Canis lupus familiaris: one gene and its partner. The protein of the gene in region 2 interacts with the protein of the main gene of each other region in a pairwise test. Links are inferred from orthologs where the notes say so. Each region holds a gene or a part of one and is shown on either strand. Other genes may lie near its edges.

Region 1 (4,324 bases), on a different chromosome or scaffold from region 2:
CCGGGGGGAGTGGATGAGGCCTTCCCAGAGGTGGAAGCCCAGCAAGGGGCCCATTTATCTCTGGAGGGAGAAATTGCAGGTCCCAGGGGCCAGAAGACCAGGAGAGAGGAATGCTGGGTGGAGGGTGCTAGGACCGTCCTGAAGCAGAGCTGGCACAGCCTGGTGACCCCCTCAGCCCCAGAGCCCCAGCGCCCCCGGGAGGCTGGTCTCCATCACACAGCAATCAGAATTCAACCGCCATGCACCCTGGCTCCTGGGCGAGGGACGGACCCACACACTACAGCCTGGGGGGGTGGGCCGGTGGGGAGATGGGCTCCTGGGTAAGGGACGGACCCACACACTACAGCCTGGGTGGGGGGGGCCGGTGGGGAGACCCTCCTGGCAGAGCATAAGCCCCTGGGGGTCGGAGATCATCTAAGCAGCTCGCTGTGTGACCCGGGGCAGGCCACCTGCCCTCTCTGGGCCTCCACTTGCTCATCTGAAAAGGCAGCCACGGGGAGGGGGGCTCGCCAAGGCTGTCGAGGACGGGGAGGCCACAGACTCCGGGGGCAGACAGATCGGGCTGGGATCTGCTTTGGGCTGCGTGATCACGCTCAGGGCACTTTCCCTCTTGGCCTCAGTTTCCTCATCGGGAAAGCGGGTACAATAAAGGTGTCTGACTCATCCCCAGGAAAAAGGGGTCACGCTCAGGAGGTGGGGAGTGCTGTGCCCTGACCTCTCTCTCCTGTGAGGGCTGATGAAGCCAGGGCCCGTCCTCCTGTCCTCCAAGCCCCCGGGGGACTCAGCCTCTGCTCGGGGTCCCAGCTGCACCCCAGCCCTGCCCACCCCTGCTCCCCCATCCTCCCGCGAACACAGCAGGTGGTTCTAACAGGATCCCAGCCTTTCGAGCAGCGCCTGGCAGACCCGAGGCACTCAATAAATACTTCTTGAATGAATAGATGAGCGCGTGAGTGAATGAACTCTCTGAGATGAGATTAGCTTTGTCACATTGGCAAACTGAGACTCCAGGTGGGTATGGCCAGAACCACTAGCCTGGAAGGTTCCAGTACGGAGCTGGAGTTGCCCCCTGGACTCTGGCCCACGGCCACTGGGGAGATTCCTGAGATGTGCCCATCAGCCCTCCTCCCCTTCCCACCCTCGGAGAAGGGTGGCTCCCTCCCAGCCTCTCCCGCTGTTGGAGGCGTGGGTAGCAGCTGGGAGAACCGGCTGGGAGCTGCCCCTCCCCTTGGGCGCGGAGGTAGGCACCTGGCGGGCTCCTCCGGTGGCAGACGCCGCTGCCGCACATAGCTGGCCCCGTGCCTCCTGCTCCTGCGCGTCCTCCCCTCCCTGCCCTCACCGGCCTGCCATGGACGGGCCCGCCGAGCCCCGGATCCCGGCCCTGTGGGACACGCACGAAAACAACATCTCAGAAATCAGGTGAGGCCCGGGCCTGGGCACCAGCCAGGAGATCCCCACTCCTCCTCCTCCTCCTCCTCCTCCTCCTCCTCCTCCTCGTCCTCCTCCTCCTCCTCCCTGTCCCCGGAGGAGGTGGCCTGCAGGAAGAGCCATGAGCCTCTGCATTGGTGGCCTCCAGCCTCCTGCTGCCTCAAACTTGACCCAGACCAGGACCTGGCTGGCTCATGCTCTGGGTGCAGGTCTCTCCTGGAAGGGAGTGGGGCACAAGGCTGTGCTGAGTGACTTGCTGGGATGCCTGAGGTGTCCCCGACTGTCGCAGGGTCTTGGTTTCTCTGTCTTCCAAAGTCATCTTCCTGATAAAGGGCTGGATGAGGGCAGGAGTTGGGCTCACAGTAACTGCTCGGGAAACATAAGGGCCTGGGGGCCCCTTTTCTTGCTGGACGCCCCAGAGCACCCCCAGATGGGGATGCTTTCCCTCTCAAGGGCTCGGAATGTGATGCCTGCTGTGTTCACGGGAAGATGGGGGAGCAGGGGTGGGCAGGGCTGGGGTGCAGCTGGGGCCCCGAGCAGAGGCTGAGTCCCCCGGGGGCTTGGAGGACAGGAGGACGGGCCCTGGCTTCATCAGCCCTCACAGGAGAGGTCAGGGCACAGCACTCCCCACCTCCTGAGCGTGACCCCTTTGTTCCTGGGGATGAGTCAGACACCTTTATTGTACCCGCTTTCCCGATGAGGAAACTGAGGCCGAGAGGGAAAGTGCCCTGAGCGTGATCACGCAGCCCAAAGCAGATCCCAGCCCGATCTGTCTGCCCCCGGAGTCTGTGGCCTCCCCGTCCTCGACAGCCTTGGCGAGCCCCCCTCCCCGTGGCTGCCTTTTCAGATGAGCAAGTGGAGGCCCAGAGAGGGCAGGTGGCCTGCCCCGGGTCACACAGCGAGCTGCTTAGATGATCTCCGACCCCCAGGGGCTTATGCTCTGCCAGGAGGGTCTCCCCACCGGCCCCCCCCCCAGGCTGTAGTGTGTGGGTCCGTCCCTCACCCAGGAGCCCATCTCCCCACCGGCCCACCCCCCCAGGCTGTAGTGTGTGGGTCCGTCCCTCGCCCAGGAGCCAGGGTGCATGGCGGTTGAATTCTGATTGCTGTGTGATGGAGACCAGCCTCCCGGGGGCGCTGGGGCTCTGGGGCTGAGGGGGTCACCAGGCTGTGCCAGCTCTGCTTCAGGACGGTCCTAGCACCCTCCACCCAGCATTCCTCTCTCCTGGTCTTCTGGCCCCTGGGACCTGCAATTTCTCCCTCCAGAGATAAATGGGCTCCTTGCTGGGCTTCCACCTCTGGGAAGGCCTCATCCACTCCCCCCGGACCCAGGCAGCTGGGAGCCCCCCTCCTCTCTGCTCCCCCACACCCAGGGGCCAGCAGGTCGCCAGCCCTTGCTCGGTGCATGACCTTGATGCAGGCACGTGCCCTCTTGAGCCTCAGTCTCTCCATCTGGAATGTGGGGGTGAATAGCCCTCCCCTGTAAGCAGCCCTAGGCCTGAATGTCTGTAGCCCCCTGGGTGGTGCCCTTCGGACCTCAACCTTTCTTCTCCAGGAGCTTCTGGAAGCCCTGGACCCAGAAGGATGCCCCTCCCAAGGGGCCTCAGCACCCTGCCTGTCCCCCCGCCCCAAGGCAGCTCAGACAGGCACACCATGCCCATCTGGAGTGGGAGCTCAGTGGCTCCCCCGAATCTTCCATCCTCTTGGGTTGCCATCTCGGGGATGGCCCCATCATGGGTCCCCGGGTCACCCCCAGGCACTGCCCCTTTCCCCCTCCCCTCCTGGGACTCTCCATACCATGCCCTCACCCTGCCTGTCCCCCTAGGCCTCCTCTCTCTGCCTCACCCCAGCCTCCCTGCTTCTAGTCCTTCCCAGAGCTGTCCCTCCCCTCCCTCCAGTCCCAAGTGGTGGTGGCCTGATGGTCTGGCCTCCTGCCTGTATTCCATGTATCCTGGGACTTCCATTCCCGGGTCACACCTCACTGCTCTCTGCCCCAGTGCCTTTGCATAGTCATTTCCTCCGTGAGGATTCCCAGAGAAGTCTTTTCTAATATCCAAATCTACCTCTGGCTCAGGTTCCTTCTGTGGCTCACTAGCACCCATGGTGATGGTTTGTTTCTAGAACCTTTTGAGACAGAGATTTCTTTGTTCCAGACTAATCTTACTCTGGGGGAGAAACCCATAATAGAGTTCAAGACAGAGCTGCTCTGGTTTAAAACAGGGGAGTGGGGCTGAGGTCCCGCTGCTCACCCTGCTGCATCTGTGGGAGCACTTGTCTTCCCACAGTCCCCACCTTCCTCAATGCCAGGGCCCCACCTGGTTGCCTCCACACCCACTGCAGCCTGGATCTCACACCTTGGGGCCTGTGCCTGCGAACATTCCTCTGCCTGGGATGATCTCTCCCCCTCTTGGGGCAAACTCCCTCTCGCACAATGCCAGATTCTTGGTGGGTCCCTGAGCACACTTCCAGCTTCAGACTCATCCCACACACCAAACGGGGGACTATTCACCGACAGGGACAGAGTCAGGCCACCTCGGGGCCACCTCGGGGCCCTGGGGAGTCTCTGAGAATGATGTCAAGGAATGAATGGAGATTAGGCAAGCCGGGAGCCAGGGCTTGCAGGATGAGTCAGGGCTGGAAGGCAGGTGAGCAGGGGCAGGGCAGGCAGGGAGAGGGGAGCGGAAGGGACCAGGGGCCAGTGGGAAATTCTCACAGGGACCAGTATTAGGCACAGCCACATGCGTGACTCTTAATGTCCAGCCAAAGAATTCGCAGGATATCTTCTGCAGCCTCGTTCCACTTTTTACACTCCCCCTTCCCCCCGCAGCGAACAAGAAAAGCTCGTGTATTGCTTTGAGGATACAGGCAACGGGACAAAACTCTCTTGAGCAAACCAAGAGAC
Region 2 (4,406 bases):
AGTGAGAGGACAAGCAGTTCAGCTCCCAGCAACTGTCTTCTTTATTCCACTTCTCATCTGCCCAACCACATCGTAGGGTTCTTGAAGGGCAGGACTCCACCGTGTCATTGTCTGGGTCCCCGTGGAGCCTGGAATAGTGACTGTCCATAGCGGGTAACTGGATAAATATTTGTTGCCTAATAAGCCCAGTGGCTGAAACTAGAGGGACCGACTCACCAAGGAGGAAGGAGATCCACAGATAAGCCACGAAATGTAATCGTTGTTACAATGTTATAGAAAATGTTAAAAATTAGAATTAAAAAACCAAAATGATTGGTAAATTATTGTACAGTCACTCAATGGAGTTTTACATAGGTTTTAACTGATTATTTGAAACCCTGTGGGAACATGAAGAAATGGTTAAGAATGAAGATATAAAATGGTATCCATGCAATGCATACAATTATGCAAAAGTTTGTGCCTATATGCACAATAGTTAGAAAAGAATATGGTAAAAAATGAAAATTGGGCCAGAATATCAGAATTATGGGTATTTTTCTCCCCCCACGGCATTCTTTCCTAAAATTTTCTTTGGGTTTTGGAATCAGGTGGGCCTGACTTTGCCTAACAGCTCCTCTACTTAATAGCTGTGGGACCTCAAGACATTTACCTTTGCTTTTCGGAGTCTCAGTTTTTTATCTGCAAAATAGGGACATGGAAGTTCCACCTCATTGTATTGTCATGCACATGAGATGAGACCATGTCAGAAAAGCTCTTGGCACATGGCCTTGAACACATTAGGTTCTCAAAAACTGGTAACTGAGTTTAGGAATATTATAAACCCTAGTGATATTTTTGCATACCGAAGTTTTTATTTCTAATATTTGGAGAAAATGGATTTATTTGTATGTATGTGTTAAATTGAAATAGGCCCACTGTAAAGAAAATCATAATACATGAAAGCGTAAAAAAGTAAAAATTATCCAAAATACTAACATGATGACCACTGAAAATATTTTGGTTAATAACTTCTAGAATTCACCCTGGACAAAAGAAAGAGATTCATATAATTTTCCATAAATGGAAAGAAACCATACATATATTATATATATATATTTTTTATCAACAATGTCATGAGTTTCTTTTAATGCCAGTAACTATAGGCATATCATCTTTTAAAAAAAAAGATTTTATTTATTTATTCATGAGAGACAGAGAGAGAGAGAGGCAGAAACACAGGCAGAGGGAGAAGCAGGCTCCATGCAGGGAGGCCCACATGGGACTTGATCCCAGGACTCCAGGATCACGTCCTGGGCCGAAGGCAGATGCTTAACCACTGAGTCACCCAGGCATCCCCGCATATCGTCATTTTTTAAACTTAAGTTTACTGTATTGAAAGTTTTTAAAAGTACAAAAGTATAATGAACTCACCTGTCATTCAGTTTCAATATTTAGCAATTTGTGGCCAATATCATTCATCTATACCCAGCCCACTCCTCTAATACCAGATTATTTTTAAAACAAATCCATCATTTAAGTTATACTCAAAGCAAATCTAGAAGTCTAAGATTTGTTTATTTGGCATCATAACTGTGTAAATTTCTATCCTACAACCATACCCATTTACATTTTTAGCCAGTTGAATATTGATGAACATTTGGTTGTTTCCTTTTTTTTTTTTTTCTATTGTAAACAGTGCTTTGGTATATTTTCTTTTGCTTTTAAAAAGTAAAGCCCTCTTCATCTAAACACATATGGAGATAAATACTCAAAATACTTAACAACTAGTAAGACAAAGCTGTTGAAAAATCAGAATAGACATGGGTTATAGGGCTGGAACAGGGTCCTACAAAACTCTGCTCCTACTCTTGTGCTGGGCATTAAACCCATTATGCTTAATTATGAGGAGGTCTGGGAGTACCAAGGGAAGAGCTGGGGCAACCAAGGTGGCAAGGGCGATATCTGAGGGGCTTATACAACATATACAGTTGATCTTTGAACAGCATGGGTTTAAACTGCACAGGTCTATTGGATGGCTCAGCGGTTAGGCATCTGCCTTTGGCCCAGGGTGTAGTCCTGGAGTCCCGGGATCGAGTGCCGGGATCGAGTCCCATGTTGGGCTCCCTGCATGGAGCTTGCTTCTCTCTCTGCCTATGTCTCTGCCTCTCTCTCTCTCTCTGTGTCTCTCATGAATAAATAAATAAAATCTTTAAAAAAAAGAATATAGAGGTGTATGTATGTATGTGTATTTGTCTATGCGTACACAACCATGTATGATTTAGGATTCTTTTTCCCTACTCTTTTCCTTTCTGTATTTTTCTGTGATGATTTTACCCGAGGCTCAGTGGACTGAATATGTTAATTAGTGACACTGTAGTTACCTGTGAGCCAGCTGAGCCTTCAGAAAGATCACAGGTTAGTACTAATAACCAGACAAAAAAATTACATAAAACATCTTTCCAGGGATGCCTGGGTGGCTCAGCGTTTGAGCGCCTGCCTTCAGCTCAGGGCATGATCCTGGAGTCCCGGAATTGAGTCCCACATCAGGCTCCCTGCATGGAGACTGCTTCTCCCTCTGCCTATGTCTCTGCCTCTCTCTCATGAATAAATAAATAAAATCTTAAAAAAAAAAAAAAAGGCTTTCCAAAGAGCTTACCTTGGACTGCTCAAAGATTTGTTTCTCCCGTGTAGTTCTTTTCCAAGTCAAGAGTCTTAAAGACACCCCAATTTTATAGAAAAACAGTTTCTCATCAACATAAAATAGCATTCATTTTAGATCAAATCTGGAGGTTCCAGAACTCGAGACTTTAGTGGTCATTCAAGTGACTGAAATGCCAAAGCAGAAAATCCACAGTATGTGTAGGGCAAATTTCCCTTCTAAGGTCAGTCTAGTTTGAGTCTTTCGATATTGCAGTGAAAGTCAAACTAAAAGAGAAAGTCAACCTTCCATTCAGACTCTCTTGACCTGGGCCTTGAGTTTGAGGTTTGTCGTTGGGAGATAGCAGGCAGAAGGTTTGTTTCTTTTATTGCCATGGAAACAGAATGGCAGCACCTCATTGGCTCAGGCACTCTTGCTCTTAAAGAGAGAAGGCTGGAGAAGCAGCCAGTTAACAAATTCTCCAAGACACAAACAAGACTAAATATGCTTAAGATATAATTTCAGAGGAAATAGAATTAAACAACCTTCTTAAGCTTAATTGGCCTATGGTAGTAGTTGCCAGACAGGATCTGTGGAGGATTTTAAATACTTTTGTCATTTGCTTACAGAAACCTAAAACTCTGAAGTAGGCAATTTCTTCCTTGAATTTCAGGCTTTGAAATCTGTAAAAGTACAAACCTCCTACGGCAGGAATCCTTTTCGGTTGTCAGTTCGACATTTTTTTTTCCTGTTTTCCTGAGCAGGAAAGCTGCTTTTTCCTCATTCTGGAAACAGTGCTTGCTTATAATAGACCAGTGGCTTTCATTTTTATTCCACTGCAACTCACTACACATTTTATAATAAAAAGTTGTGTGAAATAATATCTTTATTGCATACTATTCTTATCTATTTTTTTCTTCTATTTAGAATGAAAACTCATTATAAATCCACTTGGTTGATTTCATGATCCACTGATAGGTCAAAACCCATGGTTTACAAAACAATGTTATAGATTCATCCATTCATTTAACTTCACCTTTATTACCTACTCTATGCCAGGCACTGTTGTGAGGTATGGGGAAATATGTCAGTCCTGTGCTCCATAGAGCTTAGAGACTAGTGGGGAACAGACAATAAATTCAATAAAAGCACAATGAACCTTACATTAAGGGCCTCACCAGATGCATTGGGAATGGACAAGAGGGACTACTTATGAGTCACACAACAATTTTAATCAGAGAAGAGATTTGACTAGTTTTGAATATTAGAAAGCCCATTTTGACTGCAATGTAGAGAAACAGTTGGAGAAGCCAAGTCAGGAGGCAGGGTCAAATGAGACACAATGGTGGCCTTGGCTGGGGTAGCACGGTAGAGAGAAGAGGAGAAGACACTTGGTGATTGATCAGACATCACAAATGAGGAGGAGGCAATGATGATTCATGGGTTTCTATCCCAAGCAACTGAGGAGATGGCAGTGCCATTTTATTGAGATGATAAAGTCTGGAGGATAAACAGGCTCAAAGGAACAGATCATGACATCAAGACATACTGACATATTGAGTTTGAGGTGCCAGGGAGACACCCTAATGGTAATGTCCATTACAGAGTTTGTTCCATGATTTGGGAGTTCAAAAGAAGAGTCTGGGTTAGAAACATTTTAGGAATCTTTAGGGTAGGTAATATTTAAAAGCAAGGGAATGGATGAGATCACACAGGGGGGGAGTGTAAGAAGAGAATAGGGTCTAGAACAGAGCCCTGAGGAACACCACCAATATTTATGACAGTATTT

The links.
Region 1: the proteins of FLACC1 (region 2) and SULT2B1 interact in binary tests that used the Homo sapiens proteins (3 or more experiments, as listed by UniProt). The two-hybrid records come from large-scale screens. The link is inferred for Canis lupus familiaris from reciprocal best matches to the Homo sapiens genes FLACC1 and SULT2B1.

Annotation. Positions count from the first base shown.
Region 1 is NC_049222.1:108,410,439-108,414,762, reverse strand, and holds the start of SULT2B1 (sulfotransferase 2B1), read left to right. Parts: upstream 1-1,222; 5' UTR 1,223-1,345; coding exon 1,346-1,416; intron 1,417-4,324. UniProt on the Homo sapiens protein: Sulfotransferase that utilizes 3'-phospho-5'-adenylyl sulfate (PAPS) as sulfonate donor to catalyze the sulfate conjugation. Responsible for the sulfation of cholesterol.
Region 2 is NC_049258.1:10,293,032-10,297,437, forward strand, and holds the start of FLACC1 (flagellum-associated coiled-coil domain-containing protein 1), read right to left. Parts: upstream 3,006-4,406; 5' UTR 2,636-3,005; intron 1-2,635.